Linked DNA regions of Arabidopsis thaliana. The protein of the gene in region 1 interacts with the protein of each later gene in a biochemical or structural test. Each region holds a gene or a part of one and is shown in the gene's direction. Other genes may lie near its edges. The genes, in order: HY5, SHW1, CIP8 and CAM7.

The links.
Region 2: the proteins of HY5 (region 1) and SHW1 form a complex in vitro, tested with the Arabidopsis thaliana proteins (one study listed by BioGRID).
Region 3: the proteins of HY5 (region 1) and CIP8 form a complex in vitro, tested with the Arabidopsis thaliana proteins (one study listed by BioGRID).
Region 4: the proteins of HY5 (region 1) and CAM7 form a complex in vitro, tested with the Arabidopsis thaliana proteins (one study listed by BioGRID).

Annotation. Positions count from the first base shown.
Region 1 is NC_003076.8:3,592,290-3,597,992, reverse strand, and holds HY5 (Basic-leucine zipper (bZIP) transcription factor family protein), read left to right. Parts: upstream 1-2,989; 5' UTR 2,990-3,192; coding exon 3,193-3,289; intron 3,290-3,519; coding exon 3,520-3,703; intron 3,704-3,813; coding exon 3,814-4,075; 3' UTR 4,076-4,198; intron 4,199-4,341; coding exon of another isoform or gene 4,342-4,410; 3' UTR 4,411-4,632; downstream 4,633-5,703. Other genes in the region: AT5G11280 (tail fiber), read right to left, coding at 27-258, 572-672; OCP3 (overexpressor of cationic peroxidase 3), read left to right, coding at 917-1,156, 1,344-1,721, 1,899-2,216, 2,308-2,436.
Region 2 is NC_003070.9:26,339,796-26,345,634, reverse strand, and holds SHW1 (short hypocotyl in white light1), read left to right. Parts: upstream 1-2,403; 5' UTR 2,404-2,552; coding exon 2,553-2,720; intron 2,721-2,800; coding exon 2,801-3,025; intron 3,026-3,145; coding exon 3,146-3,211; intron 3,212-3,443; coding exon 3,444-3,563; 3' UTR 3,564-4,141; downstream 4,142-5,839. Other genes in the region: PPME1 (Pectin lyase-like superfamily protein), read left to right, coding at 664-867, 958-1,233, 1,318-1,524, 1,597-1,835, 1,927-2,086. UniProt on the Arabidopsis thaliana protein: Negative regulator of photomorphogenesis modulating both light and abscisic acid (ABA) signaling pathways.
Region 3 is NC_003076.8:25,942,141-25,947,743, reverse strand, and holds CIP8 (COP1-interacting protein 8), read left to right. Parts: upstream 1-2,301; 5' UTR 2,302-2,401; coding exon 2,402-3,406; 3' UTR 3,407-3,629; coding exon of another isoform or gene 3,630-3,733; 3' UTR 3,734-3,753; downstream 3,754-5,603. Other genes in the region: CPR5 protein, read left to right, coding at 370-426, 532-567, 645-1,859; AT5G64910 (Serine/Threonine-kinase), read right to left, coding at 3,630-3,716, 3,820-3,951, 4,020-4,067, 4,155-4,217, 4,284-4,322, 4,408-4,484, 4,616-4,674, 4,928-4,987 and 3 more. UniProt on the Arabidopsis thaliana protein: E3 ubiquitin-protein ligase that mediates ubiquitination and subsequent proteasomal degradation of target proteins. Probably forms a minimal ubiquitin ligase complex in cooperation with the E2 enzyme UBC8.
Region 4 is NC_003074.8:15,661,343-15,668,959, reverse strand, and holds CAM7 (calmodulin 7), read left to right. Parts: upstream 1-2,490; 5' UTR 2,491-2,604; coding exon 2,605-2,680; exon of another isoform or gene 2,681-3,326; intron 3,327-3,479; exon of another isoform or gene 3,480-3,967; coding exon 3,968-4,337; coding exon of another isoform or gene 4,338-4,341; exon of another isoform or gene 4,342-4,828; intron 4,829-5,573; coding exon 5,574-5,772; 3' UTR 5,773-5,960; downstream 5,961-7,617. Other genes in the region: GSTU27 (glutathione S-transferase tau 27), read right to left, coding at 7,176-7,532. UniProt on the Arabidopsis thaliana protein: Calmodulin mediates the control of a large number of enzymes, ion channels and other proteins by Ca(2+). Among the enzymes to be stimulated by the calmodulin-Ca(2+) complex are a number of protein kinases and phosphatases. Activates MPK8 in vitro.

The DNA of each region.
Region 1 (5,703 bases):
GAGCTCTTGAGATAGAATAAGCGAACCTCTAGGCGTTGAAGATCGGTCACTGCAGAAGCTTCTTTCACATTGGTGAGATTGTAGATATCTAACACATTTTCCCACTTTGGAAATGTCATGTTGATGGCAAGGCCATTGACTACAGCACCAGGGTATAAGAGAGCCTTAATCATCGGAACAGGAAAGATCTCACTAGAAATCAACTGAGACGATGTCACATGGATTGGCGATGAACACATACCAGATCTACATGGAACTCTGTTTTTAAGATTACGATTCAAGTCAGATCAACCAGAGAGACAAACAAACCAAGTAATGACTAATGATCCATATTATTAAGATTCTAATCAACTGATAAAATTTTGAATCAGCTTAGAGTTTCATACTAAAACCAGCTACACAAAAATGCGGAAACTTGAAAATGAATCAGAAATCAAGTTTTTCATTAATCAACCTTACGCAAGAGAAAGACTAAGCGTCGTCCACATATCGGATTCATAGACGCATCACTAGATAACGAAATATAGGGTTCGAATTACGCAGCTGAGAGTTTGTTTTAGTATGAATTTACCTGAAGAGAGGGATCTGGAATAAGATCAAGACGAAGTAAACCGATGAAGCCATAGACGTCCATTTCTTTATCCATCCCTTTGATTGCCCTGGGTTCGCCATTAACAAGCCCGCAAAGAAATCAAATCTAGAGAGAGAGAGAGAGATGCAGAGTGGACCCGTTGTTACCAGACGATAACGACGAAGAACAAAATAAATACTTTATAAACGACACGCTTTGCTACACTGTAAACACAAAACGGAGTCAGTGTTTAGATCTTTAAGGGATAAACGACGTCGTTTACAAAGATTCATATAAAAATCCGATTATTTTTCTCACTGCTGCTGAAAACAGCAAACAGTTTTGATGATAAAAGCCATGGCTCTATCTTCTGCCGGCGTCGTCTCTCATCTTCATCCTCCGTCGTTTTCTTCGTCGTCAGGATTATCCGTCAACAGAGTTCTGTTTCGGAATCGGAACGCTAGTCCTTGTGGTCTATCTCTTCCAATTCTCAATCCGTCTCGGTCTGTACTTGTTTTTGCTCGTGGCAAGAATCGAAAAGGATTCGTGTCTTCGTCTTCTTCGTCTCCGAAGAAAAACAAAAAGGTAAGAAAATCAGAATGAGAATGATTTATGTTCGCAATTGCTCTTACCTGCTGCTTTCGCCGAATTTGACTAGAATTTGGATACACTAACTAAGTGAGCTATTATCGGTTAGAATTGGTGAATCCTCGAATTAGACTTTGGCTCTTTTTGATTTTGTATCAGCCTTTGATTTCATGGTTTGTGGCAGAAAAGTTTGGATGGAGCTGATAATGGAGGAGGTGAGGAGGAGGAGGATCCATTTGAGGCATTGTTTAATCTTTTAGAAGAAGATTTGAAGAATGATAACTCGGATGATGAGGAGATAAGTGAGGAAGAGTTAGAGGCATTAGCCGATGAGTTAGCTCGAGCATTGGGTGTTGGTGACGATGTTGATGACATCGACTTGTTTGGTTCAGTCACTGGTGATGTTGATGTTGATGTTGATAATGATGATGATGATAATGATGATGATGATAATGATGATGATGATGATGACAGCGAAGAAGATGAAAGACCGACTAAGCTGAAGAATTGGCAGCTTAAAAGACTGGCTTATGCATTGAAAGCTGGGCGTCGTAAAACTAGTGTAAGTTTTAGTTCAGTGTTGAAGTGATGTTGAATACATTGTGTAAAGCATAGTGCTTGAGTTAGTGTCTGCTTTGGAGATTTTGCTTACGAATTGTTTAAGAGTTGACAAAGAACAAGTAGTTCTCTGGTTTTCAAATGCATAATTGATAACGGATGGTTTTGTTGTGATCTGTAGATTAAAAATCTGGCAGCTGAGGTTTGTCTTGACAGGGCTTATGTTCTTGAATTGCTTCGTGACCCGCCTCCAAAGCTGCTAATGCTAAGTGCTACACTACCAGATGAAAAACCGCCAGTAGCAGCACCTGAGAACTCCTCACCTGATCCAAGTCCTGTGGAATCATTATCAGCTGAAGATGTTGTGGTCGAACCTAAGGAAAAAGTAAAAGATGAAGCAGTTCATGTGATGCAACAGAGATGGTCTGCTCAGAAAAGAGTGAAGAAAGCTCACATTGAAACGCTAGAGAAAGTTTACAGAAGATCAAAACGACCCACTGTAAGGATTCTCCTTTTACATTTGAATCAATTTCTATGTTACTTGAATGCTCTATCTCACATATGATCATGTTTGATGATGCTGTGAATAGAATGCTGTGGTTAGCAGCATTGTTCAAGTGACCAATCTTCCAAGGAAGCGAGTTTTGAAGTGGTTCGAAGATAAAAGAGCAGAAGACGGAGTTCCAGATAAGCGAGCTCCATATCAAGCTCCGGTTTGATCTAATGTTAACGTTGAGATGGCAATGATTTGTATACTTGATTCTCAGAAACTCATCAACATTGTCGTCAAGGACAAGTTTTTTTGGTGATACGAGGAGTGTTTATAGTAGTAGATTCTGTCCAATGGTGTGGCTGGATATGTTGGACTATGAAATTTTAGGATATCTTGTATTCAGTTTTTAGTTATTTCCTTGCTGAGATTGTGTCTTGTAGAAAACCGTTTCAACTTTGTTTGGTTTATGGCGGCTATAAAGTTTAATTTTAATGCATGACAAAAACAAATCACCAAAAATAAAATAAATTACTTTCACGACACTTTTGAAAGCACTGCCCTAGGCGTGGGCCATGTGACAGAATGAAAGAACTCAGACCAAACTTTTCTGTCCAAGGACAGGAATGGGGCCCACCCAATTAGCTCCCCTATCCATTATTCACCGTAAGATGCTAACCAGATCTAACGGCTAAAATCCACCCACGTTCCAATCTCAATTGCCTTTGGATCCTTGTATTTCCTCAAGGCTCACCTTTCTCCACGATTCACTCTCGATATCCGTTCGATTCTTCAGAGATCTGACGGCGGTAGCCAGAGTAATCTATTCCTTCCCAAAATGTCTCGCAATTAGATTCTTTCCAAGTTCTTCTGTAAATCCCAAGTCCCGCTCTTTTCCTCTTTATCCTTTTCACCAGCTTCGCTACTAAGACAACAAATCTTTCCCTCTCTCTCTCGCCTGATCGATCTTCAAAGAGTAAGAAAAATGCAGGAACAAGCGACTAGCTCTTTAGCTGCAAGCTCTTTACCATCAAGCAGCGAGAGGTCATCAAGCTCTGCTCCACATTTGGAGATCAAAGAAGGTAAACAAAAATTGTCGATTGTTTTATTTTCATATCTTCTCCCAACGAGTGATCTCATTGATTTTCATTCTCATGCATTGGATATCTAGTAAATTCACATCTAGATTTTGTATCACCATTGATTCACATCTAGATTCACAACTTTTAGTCTCCCCCAGAAGATCTGCAATTTTTTATTGTATTTAAAAAGTTTGAAACTTTTCGTCTAAAGTCTCTTTTATGTTTTAAAGGAATTGAAAGCGATGAGGAGATACGGCGAGTGCCGGAGTTTGGAGGAGAAGCTGTCGGAAAAGAAACTTCCGGTAGAGAATCTGGATCGGCGACCGGTCAGGAGCGGACACAGGCGACTGTCGGAGAAAGTCAAAGGAAGCGAGGGAGGACACCGGCGGAGAAAGAGAACAAGCGGCTGAAGAGGTGTCTTTTTCTCTATTCATTGAATTTACATTTTTACCCTTTATATGGAAGGTGATTATGTTAAATAACGGTTGCGTGATGGGGTTGTTTGGTAATTTTGTGGTGAAAAGGTTGTTGAGGAACAGAGTTTCAGCTCAGCAAGCAAGAGAGAGGAAAAAGGCTTACTTGAGCGAGTTGGAAAACAGAGTGAAAGACTTGGAGAACAAAAACTCTGAACTTGAAGAGCGACTCTCTACTCTTCAGAACGAGAACCAGATGCTTAGACATGTACGTTTTGTCGATCTTACTGTTGACTTAACCTGCAACGTCAATGCTTTTGCCATTTGTTTTTTGATATATCACAGTACTGGTTTATCACATTTACGAGTCTAGGATTGACCAATAATTAGTTTAGTTAGTTAAAAGGATCTAAGAAGCTAACTTAAGCTTTAGATTAATTCTCAGAAGGCATGTAGGTTCTTGAAATGGTCATTCACTCGCATATTCTCTCAAAAGGCATGTAAATTCTTCAATGGTTCTTGAAATGCTCACTCATTTTGTTCTATATGAATGGAGAAGATGAGATTGCAAAGTTGGATCTCTATGTGTGTGTGTGGTAATAAAGTCTTTTGAGTTGTTATGTTTTTTATGTGGTGTAGATTCTGAAGAACACAACAGGAAACAAGAGAGGAGGTGGTGGTGGTTCTAATGCTGATGCAAGCCTTTGATCTCCTTCTTCTTCTTGTGTTATATTTTTGTGGATAAAATTTACAGAGAATTGTATCAATAATTATCATGTTAAAATTATATGGGATGTGAGAGCTAATATTGCAATTGTAGACCAAGTTCTCTTATTGTAGTCTTAGATTTCTCTTAATTGAAACATAATGTTGTTTTATAACAAAAATAAGCTAATTTTTGTTCTATGATATGACATTGTGACACTGTAGTAGAAAGGTTGCGTTTTCGATTCCCGCAGTTCAAAGTCCCAAACAAATTCTGGGATAGTGGAATCTTTACTCTTTTTTTTTTCCTTTTTGCCCCTATCCCTCCCGATTTCTTACAGACAAGTCGCCATGGATTTGTAAACGAAGATGCCGTTGATCATATTATGCGGAAATCGGACAAAGAGGGTAGGGTCGATCTTTTACAGCCAAAGCTTGTCAAGCTCGAGAGATGAGCAATCATGTAAGTGTTTTCTTACACTTTTGCTTTCCTTTTTCTAAAATCCATGGAATCCAGACATTGTTTTCTGTCACTGCTACCTTGAACTTGCTGCTCCCTTCTTAGAATCGGGTTGCCACAACCGAATTTCATGGACAAAATCGTACATTTCTTTACCTGTTGTATGCTTTCTGATTCTTTGTTTTCTATTTTAGATTTTTCGTGGATCTCATCTTCATCTATTGCTAGTTGCTAGTGTACTATGGATTGTTTGACATTATTTCTCATGCTTTTGAGGATACTCAGATTCTATCAATGTTAACAAAGAAAAATTTATTCTCCTTCTTTTACCACTTCCATCTTCTTTGTCTTACATTTGGACATTCCATGTCTTTACCAGCTTCCGCAGGGAAGATGTCCGTAGAGACTTTCTCAGTCACGTTCAGATGGAGTTTCAAAGAAAATGAATCTCTCCATTCAATGATAATGAGATTAAAAGAAGAGAGTCATCAGTATATCCAGGCGAATAGAGAATCTAATATCTCGCTTTCTAGCATCTTGCGAACAGGAAGTGAGGCAAAGGCTTGACGTTTTACCTGAGAAATCTCTCATATCATCAATATCGCTGATCAATTTGCAAAAAATCCGACAAAGAGAAAGCTTGAGGAGTGAACAGCAATGTAAGTATTTTAAGTCATGGAACTCAGATTTTGATCAATGCTTTCTTGAAATTTATCTTGAGTTTTTTAGTTGCTGCTTTCCTCTTAGAATCAAAATCTCACAACCAATGAAAAATCCTTATGATTCTACATTCTACATTATCTTTCCTTTTACTGTTTCTTACATTCTGTGTCTTG
Region 2 (5,839 bases), on another chromosome or scaffold:
CTAAGAATTGCTCTTCAAAAATGAAAATCTCGATCTTTCAAGTAAATTTGTTTATCTTTTAAACTTTGTTGTGAGTCTTTGTAAATGAAAAATAACATGTTTATGTCCTCTTGATTGCAGCTTCTTCTTGAAAGAGGTGTCAATCTGAATGCTTTTAATTTTTATTTGCATAAAGCTTTTAAGAAACCATCTTTATAAATATAGCCCAAAGGTATGTTATTATCAAAATGGTGTTGGTGAACATGTTGATGTTGTTACCTCCTCGGATGTGTCTCTCGACATGGATTTAATCAAATTTTTTTTTTAAATTGTTTTTTTAATAAACTTATGGTACATAAATTAACAGTTGTATAGTCTTATCAAAATCACAAAAAAAAAAACGATGTAGTAAAAATATTAATAGTAAAATCTATCAAGAATTAATAAAATATTTTGAAAACATACAAAATTCCAAGAGAAATTATAGCGGGTTGCAAAAATGGATCACCACAAACAATAATAGCAAACGAGAACAAAACTCAAAACAATTTAGGTCTCTGAAACAGTATATATACTCATGGCCATCTTTCCATCAAATCATCCAGAAAAAAAAAACGAAAAAAAACAAAAAAAAATAATAAAACAAAAAAAACTTTTTATTTTTAAATAAAAATAAAATAAAAAATGGGATACACAAATGTGTCCATTTTATTAGGCCTGTTGATGGTCTTTGTTACACCGATGGTGTTCGCAGATGATGTGACACCAATCCCAGAGGGCAAACCCCAAGTGGCGCAGTGGTTCAATGCCAACGTTGGTCCATTGGCTCAACGTAAAGGCTTAGATCCTGCTCTTGTAGCTGCTGAGGCTGCTCCACGTATCATCAACGTACTATTCACACTTATTGTCTTAAACTCATCCTTTGTACCAATAGATTTTGATACAATTTTTTTGAAAAACATGTAAAAATTATTGCAGGTGAATCCAAAGGGTGGTGAATTCAAAACACTAACGGACGCAATAAAGAGCGTTCCTGCAGGGAACACAAAGCGGGTGATCATAAAGATGGCTCCTGGTGAATACAAAGAGAAGGTCACTATCGACAGGAACAAACCCTTCATTACATTGATGGGACAACCCAATGCCATGCCTGTTATCACCTATGACGGTACCGCCGCCAAGTATGGAACCGTTGATAGCGCCTCTCTCATTATCTTATCCGACTATTTCATGGCCGTTAACATCGTCGTTAAGGTAAGTGATCCTACTATATATCATACATCTATGTGACTAGTCGACTATTTCATGGCCGAGTGATTTATTTTTTTGCATATGTAGAACACTGCGCCGGCACCAGATGGTAAAACTAAGGGAGCACAAGCTTTATCCATGAGAATCTCCGGAAATTTTGCTGCTTTCTACAACTGCAAATTCTACGGTTTCCAAGACACAATCTGTGACGATACAGGAAACCATTTCTTCAAGGATTGTTACGTTGAAGGAACATTCGATTTCATCTTCGGAAGTGGAACCTCTATGTACTTGGTACGTAACATCTCATACTTATTTCTTAATACATAAAGTGCGAGATCTCTAATGCATGTTTGAGTTCAAAAGGGAACACAATTGCACGTGGTTGGAGACGGTATTAGAGTGATAGCAGCGCATGCAGGAAAGAGCGCAGAAGAGAAGAGTGGATACTCTTTCGTGCACTGCAAGGTGACTGGAACCGGTGGAGGAATTTATTTGGGAAGAGCATGGATGAGCCACCCTAAGGTTGTTTATGCCTACACCGAGATGACCAGCGTTGTCAACCCCACCGGATGGCAAGAAAACAAGACTCCCGCACATGACAAGTAAGTCCCACTTTTCACATTACATAAAAAATCGTATGAATATCACCCAATCGGTCCATGTCCTTTATGCTGATTATATCAAAAATGACAGAACCGTGTTCTACGGAGAGTACAAGTGTTCAGGACCAGGATCACACAAAGCCAAGAGAGTACCATTCACACAAGACATTGACGACAAAGAAGCTAACCGTTTCCTATCCCTCGGCTACATCCAAGGATCCAAGTGGCTTCTCCCACCACCCGCTTTGTAAACTCTTCAATATCAAGTCTAAAATCATATTTTGCACATATATCACTTTTAACAAAAAAATTATTTTTACATATATCACTTTTAGCAAACTTTTTCTTTACCTAGTCGTCACTACTTACGACCCTATGTATGCTTTTATGCAAAGAACCGAGAGGTCGATAATCTGAGAAACATATAAGCAATCGAGACTTAGCCGAAATAAATTGATTTTCTCTCTCAAATAAAAGTATAAATGGTACCCTATATTTATGTAGCTTTTCTAAAATAGCCGAGGTTTTATTTAATTATCAAAAAAGTCTTTTAAGTCTAAAAGTAAAACTCGGTCACGACCAAAGTAAAAACTACGAAACAGTACCTTTTGTTTATGTATACTTACAAAAGTATCCCAAATGTATTTAATTATCAAAAAGGTCCGTTTTAATTACAATCACTGAATAATCATCTGGTGTTACTCTCTCTGCTCACAAATGGCCGCAGCTACAACAACCTTATCATCATCTTCATCATCACCATCGCTAACTCTCATCAATGCCTCACACAGATTTGTCTCTGTAACTCCCTTCTCTTCTAACTCTATATTCCTCCGCCGCCGATTCCGCCGCCTAAATCGCTCACTCGCTTCGTCTAGCTCCCACGTACGTTCTGATTATCTCCTACTCATAGAATTGTGTAATCCGAATCCGAATCCGAATTTACTCAATCTCTTTATCCTTAGTCGCGTAGGCGATACGAATCAGACGATAGATTCTTCGGCGGTGGTGACAATTACGATGTTGTTCCCGATGACGACGGATTTAGCGACGATGATGATGAAGAAGACGAAAGAGAAAGCAGTGTCGATCTTTTGATCAGATTCTTGAGAAGCATGTTCAAGAAAGTCTCGAAACGAACTAAAAAAGCATCGCGACGGATTTTGCCAGCTGCCATGTCTCCTCGACTCGTGAGTCTCTTCTTCTTCTCCATTAAAGCTTTTAAGTGTTTCTTCAGTTTTGTGGGAAATTTTGTTTCTTTATCCTCAAGTTTCCACTTTTGATGTTTCCTCTGTTTTTATGATTTGCAGGTGTCTTTTGCAGTAGATGGGATATTGTTATTAGGTTCACTTTCCATTACAAGAGCATTTCTTGAGGTAATCTTTTACCATTTTGCTTACTTAATTGAATCACTAGTATCGAATCGTATATGGTTTGATTCTGTTTTGTGTGATTGGTTTTTGAGCTTTCTTGTTGAAGCTAGTTTGATCTGATAGTTGCATTGGATTGTATGTGTAGCATACACTATTTATGAGCGTTTATGAATTAGAGTAACTTGTTTTAGTTGAGTGTGATCTCATGGATATGTGTTGCTAACTTTTATGGAAGGTAATATGCAATCTAGGAGGAACTGTGTTTACGGTGATTCTGCTGATACGGTTGTTCTGGGCGGCAGCTTCGTTCTTCCAGACTTATGGGAACTCTTTTGGACCAAACCCGGTAAATTAAAACCTTGTTTTACTCCCATTTGGGTGTGAGATGTTGTAACTCATGTCTTGTTACGTCAATTGGTAAAGGGAAATGTAAGATAAATGTGTGCATTAATATAGCTAGGGAATTATGTAGTTTATCAAGAGTTAGAAGACGAAACTAAGAAGATAAAAGAATGTTTCCTGTAATGTTTCCTGATATTTGTTGTTCAACGTATGTGTAATTTTAATGAATACACCATTGTGTTGTTATTACTATAACATGATGCAAAAAAGCTTTAGAAGAGTTGAAATCGAAGGTGTTAGGCTGGAGGGAACAAAACAAGCTGGACACAGAGTTAGTGTATTTGTCATTCATGATCATGTCGAGAATACAATGTGGTTTTAGGAGTGATTTGTATTATTTAAAACCTTTTAATATAGATCGATCCTTTGTTTATTTTCAGAGTTCAAAATTTTACTCTGAATTTAATCAAAGAGAATGTATTATATTTGAATATAGACAAATCATAAATTCAATGATGCTAAATCATAAATTAGGTTTATGTGGACACATCATCTTCTTCTTTTTTTGGATCAAAGGGTGACATATCTTTTGGTAAGACGTAAATACTTAATGTGTCTTTCTTGATGATGTTAATTTCTGTAAAACCTCGTACCGTACACATTGATGAAAATAGTGAGATCTTGAAAATAGAGAGGTCGAAACCACCACACTACACTAGACCGTCTTGGAGTTACTATAGCTACATCTTTGACTTTCATTGTTCTTTGCACGCAACTTATCCAAATCAACACATGTTATCAGGAAACGCGGATTCTGTATTTCTCATGTGTTACAAAAGCGAAAAGAATATATATTTTGAAAAGTTCATATTATACCAATTTGACATCAAACAATTTAATAAATTTGTGAATAATTTAAGAATATTCAATATATTATGCTGCTGCAGTTGAAACCTATACACAATATGAATTTTTAAAGGGGGAAATAAAAGACAATCTTTAAAGTTGTAACTCTTAATTAGTTGAGCAATTTTTTTTTATCCGGGTATGATTTTGGGATATCCCTATATATCGGTTTGTTTGAATTTGAAATTATTTTTCTTTGTTTAAACATGGATAAACTGTAATTACGATATATTTTTTTTGTTTTTTCTTAAACTACAACTAAGATCTATTTGGTTTTAATGTTTTATAAATTGAGTCTTTGTTTTCTTTCTAGAAAAAAGTTATGAATCAGTCGTAGTTAAAAGAAAAATGTATAGACAAACACACAAAAACTATAAGATGAAGAAATTTCAAAGATGTTTACTTTCCGGAAAATTTGACGCTACAAAAAGTGAGAAAGAAGGTGAGTCGTCGTCACTCTGAGTTGGTAGCAAAGACGCGGAAGTTTGGAAGTATCTAGGGTTTATTAAGTCATACATAAAGTAAATCATAAATAAAGTTAACTCGTAATTGAGATTTTGTTTAATTACTTTTTCCACAACTCTCGGTAAACTGTATTGTTCTCTTCTAATAAGTCTTGGGAATCAGAGCCAGATTGTTTTTTTTCCATAATATAATAGTATAATCTCTGTGGAAACTATAAAAAGTAGCAGTACACCATAGACTATGAAATTTCAAATTCATTCATCCTGTTAAGGGCTCAACTAGTTAAGTAATAATAATTACACTCCAAATCTGTAAGTACTAAATTTTGTAACAACTCCTAAATTACACATACGATTTTATGTATGGATTACACATCTATTAATACGAACCATGAAAACATTTCACAAGAAAGTTTTGATTTTAATTTATATATCAAATTGGTATACGATGTATATCGTATTTTGTTGTTGTTTGTTTACGTCATGTATATCTCATACTTACCAAATTAAATATTGTTTCGGTCAATCATAATGGAAAGTGTAAAAACTATTATTTGAATCTGAAGATATTCTTATTTCAAATATTTGTCGTTTTTGCTCGACGACGAACTGACGTACATGTTTTGATCTTACAGAAAAGAAAATGGCGACCATCGAAATTCCGAAAAGATTCCCTAGGTTACGGTCCAAACTCAAGTTAGGACGTGGAACATTTGAGATTTGTAATGATTTACCGGCCTTGACTGTTAATAGATATACATAGACATTGAAAGGGATAACATGAACTTCTGACTTAATTTCACAATAAGTTAAACCATGACTGACATTTTGGTGCTTATAATAGTCAACTCAAAGACATATCCATAGATATGATACATTTAACCTGTTAGTCAAGATTTACAATTGAAATAGAATTATT
Region 3 (5,603 bases), about 22 Mb from region 1:
CTGGACAGAGGAGAGGATCTGAATCAGAGTCAAAAGGATTGAATCTGAATTTTCTTCTCTCAGTACTTGCGTGAATTCTTCACCCTGAATCGAAGAGAGGATCTTCTCCTCAAATTATAATCAGAGTCAATCAATAGAAGCTGAAGTTCTTCTTGGGGGTCTCTATGATCGAGCTTCAATGTAACATTGCAAATTTATATTGTCTTCTCTCTCACTTGCCTTAAAGCTTGAGCCTTTCTAGTTTCTACTCGGATTTGTAGTTCTGATTGTGATTTCACCAAATTTCATCCTACCTAGCCGCCAAAGTCATTGACTTGCATATGCTCTGTAGTTCTTACTCTGTTTCTACTCTGTTTTATTGTTCTCTAGGTTATTGCGAGAAAGAATGCCGCAGGTCAGAATGTTTATGTTGATGATCTTGTTGAGGTAAGTAGTATGAACTTCAAATGATTTCTTCTCAGTTTCTGTTCAATCTTTCTTTTGCCATCGTTTTGGTAGTGATACAAGAACTTCATTGATTATGCTCTCCAGATCTTTGCTACTCTTGTCGAAGAATCATTAGCCAATGTAAGCTAAAATCCCCCTCTATGTTTTCCGCATTTTTATATTTATAGACTTTCTGATTCATAATGTTGTGGTTACAGGTTTATGGTAATAAGCTTGGTTCCTTTGCGACCAACTTTGAGCAAACATTCAGCAGTACTCTAAAGATCCTTAAATTGACCAATGAATGTGCAAATCCACATCAGTCAAACAATAATGATGGTGGGAGTTGTAATTTAGATCGCTCTACCATAGACGGATGCTCAGACACCGAGCTATTTGAGAGGGAGACTTCATCTGCTACGTCTGCTTATGAAGTGATGCAAGGCAGTGCAACAGCAACCTCTTTGATGAATGAGCTTGCCCTTTTCGAAGAGACTCTACAACTCTCTTGTGTCCCTCCTAGAAGTTCAGCAATGGCTTTGACCACAGACGAAAGGTTTTTAAAAGAGCAAACACGAGCAAACGACCTAAAGACCGTGGAGATTGGTCTTCAAATAAGAGAGTTAAGGTGCAAAGAGACGGCGCTAGGATTAAAATTTGAATCAAACAACCTGGGGAAAGCGGCGCTAGAGTTGGATGTTTCGAAAGCTGCATTCAGAGCGGAGAAATTCAAAACCGAATTAGAAGATACAAGAAAAGAAGAGATGGTCACAAGAATCATGGATTGGCTCCTCGTAAGTGTCTTCAGCATGTTGGCTTCTATGGTACTTGGCGTTTACAATTTTTCAATAAAGAGAATCGAGGATGCTACCTCAGTATGCGACCAATCCGAGGAGAAAAGTTCGTCGTGGTGGGTTCCTAAACAAGTTTCATCGATTAACTCAGGCTTCAACACCTTCATCTGCCGGGTTCGAGTTTGGGTGCAGATATTTTTCGGTGTGTTAATGATCATTGTCTTCACTTACTTTCTAAACAAACGATCATCAGGTACGAAGCAGACAATGCCGATAAGTTTCATCGTTCTTTTCCTCGGTATATTTTGCGGTGTATCGGGTAAATTGTGTGTGGACACATTGGGCGGTGATGGCAAACTCTGGCTAATAGTTTGGGAAGTGTTTTGCCTTTTGCAATTCGTTGCAAATGTCTTCACATTGGCTTTGTATGGTCTAATGTTCGGTCCTATAAACGTGACTCAAGAGACCAGATCGAACCGTTGTAACAGTATGTTTCCATATTGGGCAAGGCGCAGTGTCGTGTATGTGGTGATTCTGTTTGTTCTTCCAGTCATAAACGGTCTTTTGCCATTTGCAACATTTGGTGAATGGAGAGACTTCGCTATGTATCACCTTCATGGTGGGTCTGACTATGCTTGAGACGAGGAGGCCATCTTTGTATTGTAATTTATTGTAACGATTTGGGTTTTTTAATCTTATTTTATTTTATGGGTGCTGTTGAAACAATTGTATCGCTATTACAAAGTTATGTATTCGAGTTATATGTTTGTATTGTTGTCAAAAGAAATTAAAATTATGCTTTTCGATATGACAAAATTTCATGGGTCAAATGGTACTTTATCTTATCAAGTTTTTGGATAAAAGTGCAAGTCAGTTTTGATTTGGAAGCTGGTTTAAATTGGATTGAACAATTTGATTTTTATGTTTGACAGCAATTGAACAGTTTGATTAAATTGTAAGTATTATGAATTTATGATGATGGTGATATCATATATAGAAGAAAATATTATGATATTGTGGGTGGGTCAAGTGGGTAAATGAGCAGGATTCTCTAATGTCTTAAAAATTCGATAATAATAATACAGAGAGACCTTTTTCTTTTATTTTCTCCATCCTCTTAATCGGCTTATCGGATCCGAATCCGGACCCGAAAGCCTGAAAACCCGACGATTAATTGCACGATGTCCGATGCTCCGTCGTCTTCCCCGGATGCCACGGCGTCGCACTGGTGCTATCACTGCAACAAACGCGTCGTCGTTGAAACCTTAGATGACTTTGTCGTGTGCTGCGAATGTAACAAAGGTTTCGTCGAGTCAATTCAACCGACTCCCGCCGCTTATTCATCGCCGGCGCCACCGCAGCCACTTTCCCCAGATCTGAATGTAGAAGACTCCAGTATTGGCTCGCATTTCCTCCAGATGCTCCGCTTGTTAGCCCACGCGCCTTCTCAGCGTTCACCACCACGACACCTTGATGTTTTATCTTACGAAGATGATTTCTTCAGGTTGGAGCTCAATAGTAGAAACGAAATCGACGATGACGAAGACGAAGATGAAGATGATGGAGATGAAGAAGAAGAGGATGAGGAAGAGAATTTAACCGTCAACGACGAAGAAGACGAAGAAGATGATCTGAGGAGGAGAAATCGTTTTCCTCTCACGACGACGCAGTCGAGAACCGGAAGAAACAGAATTCTCGATTGGGCTGAGATTTTGATGGGAATCGAAGACAATTCGATTGAGTTCCGTATGGAATCAGATCGATACGCAGGAAATCCGGCTGATTACATAGACGATGCAGCCGGATACGAAGCTTTGCTACAGAATTTAGCAGAAGGAGATGGTGGTGGTGGCGGAGGAAGGAGAGGCGCACCACCGGCTGCGAAATCGGCAATAGAGGCATTGGAGACTTTCGAGGTTAGTTCTTCGGAGGGAGAGATGGTTATGGTTTGTGCTGTGTGTAAAGATGGAATGGTGATGGGAGAAACTGGTAAGAAGTTACCGTGTGGACATTGTTACCACGGAGATTGTATTGTGCCATGGTTAGGAACAAGGAACTCTTGTCCTGTCTGTAGATTCCAGCTTGAGACTGATGATGCTGAATATGAGGAAGAGAGGAAAAAAAGAACTTCTACCGTGTCAGATTCTGCTGCTGCTTCTTCTTCTTCTTCAACTTCTCGTTACTGAAGTGGAGGAAATGCCCCCATTTGTTGTTACTTTTGTTGTTACTCTTTCTCTTTAGATTAATCTTTGCTTAGTCTCTCAACACTATTTGGTTGGTTGCATGTTGCATCAAAGAAGCGAGAAAACAGAGAACAAAAAAAAAAAATCCGGCTCCAAAAAGACAATTGTTATTTGTAAGTGTGTTGTATCTTTGGCCTAAACAATCCCATAGTGGTTTCTTTGATTCTCAGTTGTTCATAAAGTTTGCCGAAACAAAAAGGTTCCTGGGTTTAGGAGAAACGGTTACAGGACTTCGTGAGCCTTCCCGAAGTACCTGTTTATGAACGGGGACTGCACAGAGACCAACAAACTTATATCAGATTTTGGCAATAATATTCAGAGTTCCATTGACAAACTAAGTTGGATTTGTTTTGTACCTTCTCAATTCCTGCAGTGTGGGGTGTGTCTGGTGAAGGCAATGGATAAAACTTGTACAACCTCATTTCTTGATAGGCTTTTTTTGTTTCTTCGCTCAGTCCTTCCTTTGCTTTCTCTAGGGCTTCTTGTGCCTGCCAATTGTAGAATCCATTGTTAAGTATATGTGCGGCTCTGTAGCAGAGGGTATGAAACATGATACCGTGTCATAAGCTGCCATAGCTTTGTCACTTTTCTCTTTGACAAACTCCTGAAAAAAGGAAACATATGGGTGAGTGATTTTAGAGACCTCCCTCAAATGAATTCATCAAATCAATTCCAGCTCTTGCTTGCTTACCTCGAACGCAACCTTTTGTTCCGGGAGTAATACCTCCTCATTGATCAGACTGTCGGTGAATTCCTAAAATAAACTGAGATGAGAAGTAATTCAAGTAAGGTGTTTTATTGGAAAAGTCAGATACTGCACCTCAATGACGCTTTTCACCCAGTCATATTCACATTCAACCTGCACAAAGGAAAAGTAAGTTTGATTAAAAATGAAACTACCAAATTGTATTGTCGATCAGTTAAGAAAGACAAAAATAACTTACTGGTGGCTCAGAAGGGAACATTATTTTAACCACAGTGCTCTTCTCAGAGTCATCAACCTTATATGGGTTGTTGATGTCTGCAAATCATAGTAAAACAGTAATATTTACAGTATGATGTCTAGGGAAAACAAATCTCAAGCAAATGAAAACATGGTACTGAGAATATAACATCAATAACAACCAGCTAAGCATCAAAATTAGAGCTCACAAGGAAGGCAATAGTTGAACTTTTTAACACGATCGTCAGGCAAATGTTTGAGAGCAGACCTGCAAAGAAAATATACAAAGCTAGGCTGAATACACCAAATTCTGCACTCGTTAAGTTACTGAATGTGAATGGGAATGATCGAAGAATGCAAAGTGTTGCATCACGTTTTCAGATAAAGCTATCTGCTTCAAAACCATATGTAATGTAATTCTTTTTCCTCTACAAAGCGAATGAACAAATCACGTCTTCTATAACTTCCTAACTTGCATGGTAACAAGACATTGGGAGGAAAAGATACCACAGAGTATTTACCTTCTCTGAGTACAGCCCAAGATGAAAATTGGAAAGTTCTTATTATCAACTTGTCTATCCCTGCAGAAGAACAAAAGCAGATGAAATTAGCAACAACTCCCATAAACATCAAAAGTAAGAAGAGTAATACACAAATATACTATCTGTTTCATTGCTTAAGACCCTCTCACGAAAATATGTGTACAACTCAGGGATGTCTATATACCTTTGTTCAAGTGGGATGTAAGGAACCCAAGCCATTTTCATAGTTTTCATTGCAATAATTTCCCCAACCTCTCCTTGAACCGATGCAACTCCTATCTCATCAGAAGGGGGAATAGGTGAATCAATCTGTAAATAGATAAGAACCAAAATTAACCGTCAGTTATAGATAAACAATATGATCTTGTTTTCCAATCACAATGCCGAGCTTATTTTTCAAACACCAGTGACATGATATAAAAAACGAAACCAAAGCTTACACAAACGACAACAGGAACAAGGACATCCTTGTTTTCATCTTTGTAAGTGACTGAATGAGCTGCAATGATAAGATAGATGATATCAAAAGGGGAAGAGAGAGATGCACATTGCAGTACCAGATGACTTTGCAAGCAAATCAGTCGACAAGATAAATGTCACCTTAATCTAATACCAAGAAACAAATAGTGCTATCTAGGTATAACTTACACTCAGT
Region 4 (7,617 bases), on another chromosome or scaffold:
TTTAAGCTCGGTTGGTTTGACAGGTTCAACAAACTTGATGTATAATCGATGAAAGTTTTTGGTTTAAATATAGGTGACTCGGTATAACCGGTCAGAGAAATGGGCTGGAGGGCTTTTGATGTACCAGAACCGTGGTGAAGATACGCCACAGGTTTGGTCAGACAGGTACCCACTTAAGTAGTAAATTGCTACTGAATTGGTTAATTGACTAAAAGCTTTTACAAGTCATGTTACTTTGTATACTTAAACAAGCTAAAATTAAATTTCTTTTTCATCCTTCTGGAACCACCATAAGGTCATTATGGCCAGAAATGTATGATCTTTGGTGATTTTTATTTATCCAGCGTTATAAATTATCCACCCATTAAGAAAGAACAAATTGATTCACATGAAATCGTTAGACAATAATAAGGATAGATCAAAGCCATCCTTCGACTAAAAAACCCTTTATACCTTCAACATACCTATAACGAAGGGAAGTCAATCATAACAAAAAGAACAGAATGATCCATACCAAAAAGAAGCTCTATGATATAATACTAAGAAAAAGCAAACACCTTAACCTCAACGCAATAATCTACCATCAAAACAATAACGGGAACAAACAATAGATCAAAGCTATATATCCGGCAAGTCAAAATTCCTCTGCATTTCTCGCATTTCACACATACCTATTCAAAAAGAGCTACCATCACAAACATAAAAAAAAGTCAGAGAAGCCTCCAACAATAAGAAGTCAGAATACAAAGGGAAACATATAACTGCACTGTTTATTAACAATTGTCTTGTGAATTCGTGTTATACCGTTACTTAATAACAATTATAAACTATAAAATATAATTTTTCTTTAAATAGATACAAGTTGTAAACCTTAATATATACTAACGTTAAAATCGCCTAGACCAACGTTTGGACATCAATATAGAATATCAGGTTACATCAATGTATCAAATTCAATATGAAATATCAAGATACCATAACAATAATACAGAAATATCAAATTCAATATGAAAATCTGATTTTTGCTTTACTATTAGCAGAAAATTCATGATCTGGACATAAGTAGTTAGTAGATTAGCCTAAGTTAGTAAAAATTAAGTTACAAACCTAAAAAACAAATTTGTCACAAAACTAGAATTTTTTTATTTTTTGGAATACGGGTTAAATCTTTAATTTATTATTTTTAGCACCACTTATCAAATCAGTCTGATTAGAAAAGATTATATAAAATCAAAAAATATTTTGTGGTATAGTGCTACTTAATAATAATTGTAAACTATAAAAATAATTGATGACAATTATATAAATTTTTTAAAAATCGTAAAATCAACGCAATTGGCGGGAAATTTTTCTACAAAAATTTTCTACTAAATTACGGAAAAACCGTAAAATCATTCTCAATCGTCTACTAATATTTATTGTCTAACCATTTTCTTTCTTGTGTTATAATTTTGAAATGTGATAAAATAAAGAGAATTTATAATAAATGATTATAGATTTGAAAAGAATGTACAAACTAACCTTGAGTCACAGTAGCTTGTCGGAAACATATTGGAGAACACATGTAATTACATAAATATCCTTTGTAACATGTTTTTTTTCCGAAATACATGCGATAACATAATATCTCTTTTTATCTTGTTATTTTCTCTTATTACATAGTATTTATAAAAAGCACATGGTATTTTATGGAAAAAACATTCTATTCAGTTTAATATCTCTTTTTATCATGATATTTTGTAGTAATACACATTTTTTATTAAGATCACACGTGATTTCTTTAAAAATATATTCTTATTTTTTAGTAATACACGGTTTTATTAAAATCACATATAAATTTTTTTTAAGGATTATGTTCATGTAAGAAAATTTCATAATAATGTTTTTTCTTAAAAATTCATGACGTTTTTTTAAATAGCATGTTTTAAAACTAAATATAACATGTGAAATTTTAATGTTACATGTTATTTTGAAAAATTACACGAATGTGTTTCGTTTACAGTTCATCTTACAACAAATGAAAGGTAGCTTTGTTATTTCATTTCTTCCGACAACATGGGTCCATGGTTATTTTGTAACAAAAAACTTTCTCTCTACTAGTTTCTTAATTTGTATGTTTTATTTGGTTATCTAATATTACCCTAAAATAAACTTAGCAAATAGAAAATGAATTTTATCAAATTGCCTACACCAATGTTTGGATATCAATGTATAATATCAGGTTACATCAATATATATCATACCAAGATACCATAACAATAATACAAAAATATCAAATTCAAAACTATTAGCAGAAAGTTCATGATCTGGACATAAGTAGTTAGTAGATTAGCCTAAAATAGTAAAAACTAAGTTGCAAACCTAAAAAACAAATTTCTCCCAAAACTAGAATTTCTTAATTTTTTGGTCTGAGAAATTAAAAGAGAAAGACGTTTAGGAGGGCAAAATCGTCAATTCAAAAATACCTCATTTTACCTGTAGCTGGTGAGATCTCATTTTATAAAGGAGAAGGAACATTCACTCTCACGCGCTTCAACTTTCTCCAGAAACAAGAAAATATCACAGCAAAAATTTTCTCGAGAAAATCCGAAGAAGACAAAAAAAATGGCGGATCAGCTAACCGATGACCAGATCTCCGAGTTCAAGGAAGCTTTTAGCCTATTCGACAAAGACGGAGATGGTCTCTTCTTCTTCTTCTTCTTCTTCTTCTTCTCTCAGATCTCTTTCTCTTGTCGTTTTTTTTTTAGATTTCTTCGCGGTGATCGTGAATCTCTGCACATTTCGTTTATTGTTTCATGTGATTTGAAGAACGATCTCGTTTTGATTCGTTCAGTCTTGCTCACATCTCCAGAGTGTTTAGGGTTGATTTTTGCTTCTATAGAAGGATCTAGAATATGTAGAATCTCCTTTAGTATATTCGTTGATGATTACTAAGATTTGTAGTTATGGAATCTTGTTTAATTAGGTTATTCATCATATTCTAGATCCTACATTGGAATCGTACATTGGAATCTAGTTGTTTCTCTGTGATTTACTATGATTCTGAACAAATCCTGTGATTATAATCATGCGGATTTGTACGTTCTCACAAAATTTAGTGGCATTGTGGTTTTAAGATTCAATTGTAACATGTAGATTTATCTGCAGATGTTTATACTCAAAATCTAAAAAACGAAATTTGGTTTATTGTGTGATGTTGCCAAATAGAAAAATAGAGAAAGAAGTTGATAATATCATCTCTGTTGTTCTTCTTTACAATAGTTGAGAACTTGCAACGGTGTGCATTTTGTGATGCTTATTGGCAATACCATCATATTTAGAACATTGTGCATTTCCTGGCCTTTGATTAGAAAGAGGCTTTAAATGTTGCTTGGTGGTTTGTGTGCAAAAAGTTTCTTTGTTAACTTGGTAGATGTTTCCCGAACAATCAGTTTTACTTGTCGTATACTATGATTGGGGTTTAAGAGTATTTTACTAAGAGCATTTTTGAGCTTTCTTGTGAGAATAGGTGCATTTCCTGGCCTTTGATTACTAAGAGAATAACATCATATTTAGAACATTGTGCATTTCCTGGCCTTTGATTACTAAGAGAATACCATCATATTTAGAACATTGTGCATTTCCTGGCCTTTGATTAGAAAGAGGCTTTAAATGTTGCTTGGTGGTTTGTGTGCAAGAAGTTTCTTTGTTAACTTGGTAGATGATTTCCGAACAATCAGTTTTACTTGTCGAATCGTCGTCCTTTTAAATGAGATATACTATGATTGGGGTTAGTAGTGTAAGGATATTTTACTAAGAGCATTTTTGAGCTTTCTTGCATTTGAAAACTTGACATATTACTTGTGTTTAAGATAATTGGTTTATATATCTTCCTGATCTTGTTGACAATATTAGTGTTCATAAAGTTATACTCGGAACTCTTGCGTTACAAAATCTGAAGTTGTGTCCAATTTTGGTTTGATTGCAGGTTGTATCACCACAAAGGAGCTTGGGACTGTGATGAGATCACTTGGGCAGAACCCGACAGAAGCCGAGCTCCAGGACATGATCAACGAAGTGGATGCAGACGGGAACGGGACAATAGATTTCCCAGAGTTCCTGAACCTAATGGCACGTAAGATGAAAGACACTGATTCAGAGGAAGAGCTTAAGGAAGCCTTCAGGGTTTTTGACAAGGACCAGAACGGTTTCATCTCGGCGGCTGAGCTTCGTCACGTGATGACAAATCTTGGGGAGAAGTTGACGGATGAGGAAGTCGATGAGATGATCCGAGAGGCTGACGTCGATGGTGATGGTCAGATCAACTATGAAGAGTTCGTCAAAGTCATGATGGCAAAGTGAGATTCTTCTTATCCCTCGAAATCCTAAGCATGTTTTTCTTTTACATCTTTAAAACTGAGAAAAGTAATTTATTGAACCAAAAGAAACAGAGAGATTTGCTTCCTTGTTTGTTTTGTTGATCGTGATTTTTTGGTAACGTTGCTTCTTCTTTGCCTTTTGGTTTTGTTATTGTCCGTGACGTTTGAACTCATAATTTGCTTTAGTCTCTCGAGTCATGACCACTTGATGATGTTATTTTCTCTTTTCTCTAAAATATTGCAGTTTATTGAGATCGACTAATTATATCCATTACGTGGAGAAATAATTGCTTACTAGTTGCAAAAACGTGCACTGTAATTGTTTAAAATTTAGTGTCTTTGCAAGAACAAAGTAGTAGTAAAAGTTCTTGGGATCAAACATTTTCTATTTCAAATACCCACTTAAGGCCCAATGGTATGGTTGATAAGGCTGTTAAGGTTGTGAGGGTTTATTAGCTGATGAAGGCCTATCTTGTGAGTAATAGTACTGTCAAACTACTCCATCTTGTGTGGTTCTCCCCTAGATTATATTTGAAAAAAAACTAATTTATCTACGTATAGACATTTTTCTTACTATAACATTAGCTCTAATTTGAATTTGATATTTGGATTTATAATACACATAAACGTATATAATAGTTTGTTCTATATGTTTTTTATTTAATTTTATTTTATATGTTTATTTAATTATAGATATAAATTTTCCTCAATTGTTTAATTTTTTTCTATATTAAAATTGAATTATATTTTATTTTATGCAAAATCAACTTTTAGTATTTACAAGTTAGTCATTAAAGTTATATTTATAACAATTATTATAATTTCCACTATACTAGTCATAGACTCATAGTTCTAGTATTAGTATCAACTATATACTAATAGAACCATAAATTTGTTTGTTTTTTGTTTTTTTAATAAATCTTATCGACTGATCCGGTCGGCCCGTATAAACTATAAGTTTGTTTTTATAGAGTTTTTCTAATTTAGTTATTGTCAATTTAACATTCAAGCTCATTAAGTTTTCTTTAGTAATATGTAAGACTCTTTTTATGCAATTCAGTTCATATATCTCTCTTCTCTTTTTTTTTTTTTTGTGACGAACTAAGAAACAAAAAAGAATTGACATTTTACAGTTAATTCTATTATCTTCTTCATTTCTAAACCCCAAAGAAAGAAGGAACCAACTACTCGGTTTTTATTGTTTCTTGTTCTCAGTCATGTTTGGGAATGCGCAAGTAAATTGATAAAGAAAAGGAAGAAGAAGAAGAAGAAAAAGAAAAAGAAGAAGACCAAAAATGCTAAAAGGAATGAGAAAGAATTGATCCAGCATAACCCCTCACAGCCCGAGTCACATCGCGTTCCTAGCCGTTTGAATCTCCTCTGCCACCGCTCTCATTCTTGCTCGATTCTATAGCTCACTGTACTTGCTGATCAAGAACTAACTTAAAACAATGAAGACGAAGAATAGTGAAAGCTAATAGTAGATAACTTGCATATATCGAGGGATTGTTTAAAAAACATAATAATAACCTTGTATATAGGCTACGTAATGGCATAAAGAAAAGATTGGTTGGTGGATTACCATGCGAGCCGCTGGTAGAGGACTAACAATTATGTACTTGGATTCAAACCATTTAGTTTAGTCCTAAGAAAAAAAATTAAGTTACCAAGTTTATCTCTAGGAATTTAGAATTTTAACAGTTTTATAGATTTATATTCATCTTGTAAACGATAAACGATAAACAAAACCAGTAGTGTCTCCAACCGCCGAAATGTTAACAATTAAACGATAAACATAGATTTTTTTTTCTATGATCAATTTTAGAAAAATAAAATTTACAAACAAGTATTTTAATTATTAAACTTTGAGAGAATGAAATGTAATAAAGAAAAGAAAAAAAAATTAGAAAATTTTTTTTGACCCACGTCTCCCTCTCAAATGCTCTCTTTCTCTTTATTTAAATCTGTTACACCTCTCTTTCTCTCTCACCAAACAAAAACTTTTTCGAATATTTTAGTAATTATAAATAGTAATTGTACTACTTCTCCAATTAAGTTACGGAAATGTACTGTTTTCTAAACAAACTCAAAGAAAAAGGTTAAAAAAATTAAAGAAACAAAAACTATAACACACTAAACAGTCTTGTAACAACTGAGAGATAAAAGTAGAAAAACAAATGAGTTAAAATCTATCAAAATGTTTAACCATATATAATGTCATGATAATATCTCGTAAGTCACTCGCATGTAATATCAACATCATCTTTACTGTCATGGAAGATTTTATTGCTCAACACTTAGTGACCAAGACTTAATATACTATTGCTGCTACTCCATATTGTAGATTTTATTATTCTTGAATGGTTTTTTGTTTAAAACTAGAAAAAGACTGGACAAGTCTTCATTACGAGAATCAGTGTGTTGGTGATGATGTATTGGATTATGTTCCCATTTCCTTCGCATCGAAAGACGATATGGCAAAATAAAGATCGAGAGTAATGGTGTTTATATACCATTCCACAAGAAACTACATCAAGAATTAAGTTAAACTATAGTAAGATATATAATTGAATTCTTTACCAAATATCGACATTGTTATATAATTGAATAACATAGGAATTTCTAAAAGTTTTCCATCAACATAGGATAATAATAATAAAAATAACTTATGATATATCAAGAACAACAAACCCATTTTATTTCAATTATAATATCAAATGAAAAATAAATTTTTTCACACCAACTACTTCCTTAAGCATTACAACATTTCTTATTATTTTGGTTAACTTACATAAATAGAGCATATGATTTAGACTATCAATAACCATAGAAAAACTCATGGACCTTTATGATCTGAGTGACTCGATCAAATATCTTCAGCGGGTCAGGTAAAGATTTCGAGATAGCGGGTCGGGTTAAGCATTTACGGATCCAGTCCATTAGCTTGGGAGTGTGGTCCTCGACACTAAAACCACCAATAGTCTCCCATGTGTGGAACCAAGGGTAGTAGGAGATGAGAACCAAGTCCACCATCGAAACGTTGTCGTTTCCTCCGAAGTAGACCTTATCTCCAAGCTCTCTTTCTAACACTTTCAATATCTCTATGAACTCTTGTTTCGCTTCTTCTTGTTCTTTGCCCCTCTTTGTCCACGTTCTTCTTCCAGCGTCAAAAACCTGTTTATATTTTTGTATATGAATCACAATGAAATTGAACTTTTAGTCTCCTTTCGTTGAACTTTTTATATACACACCATAACAT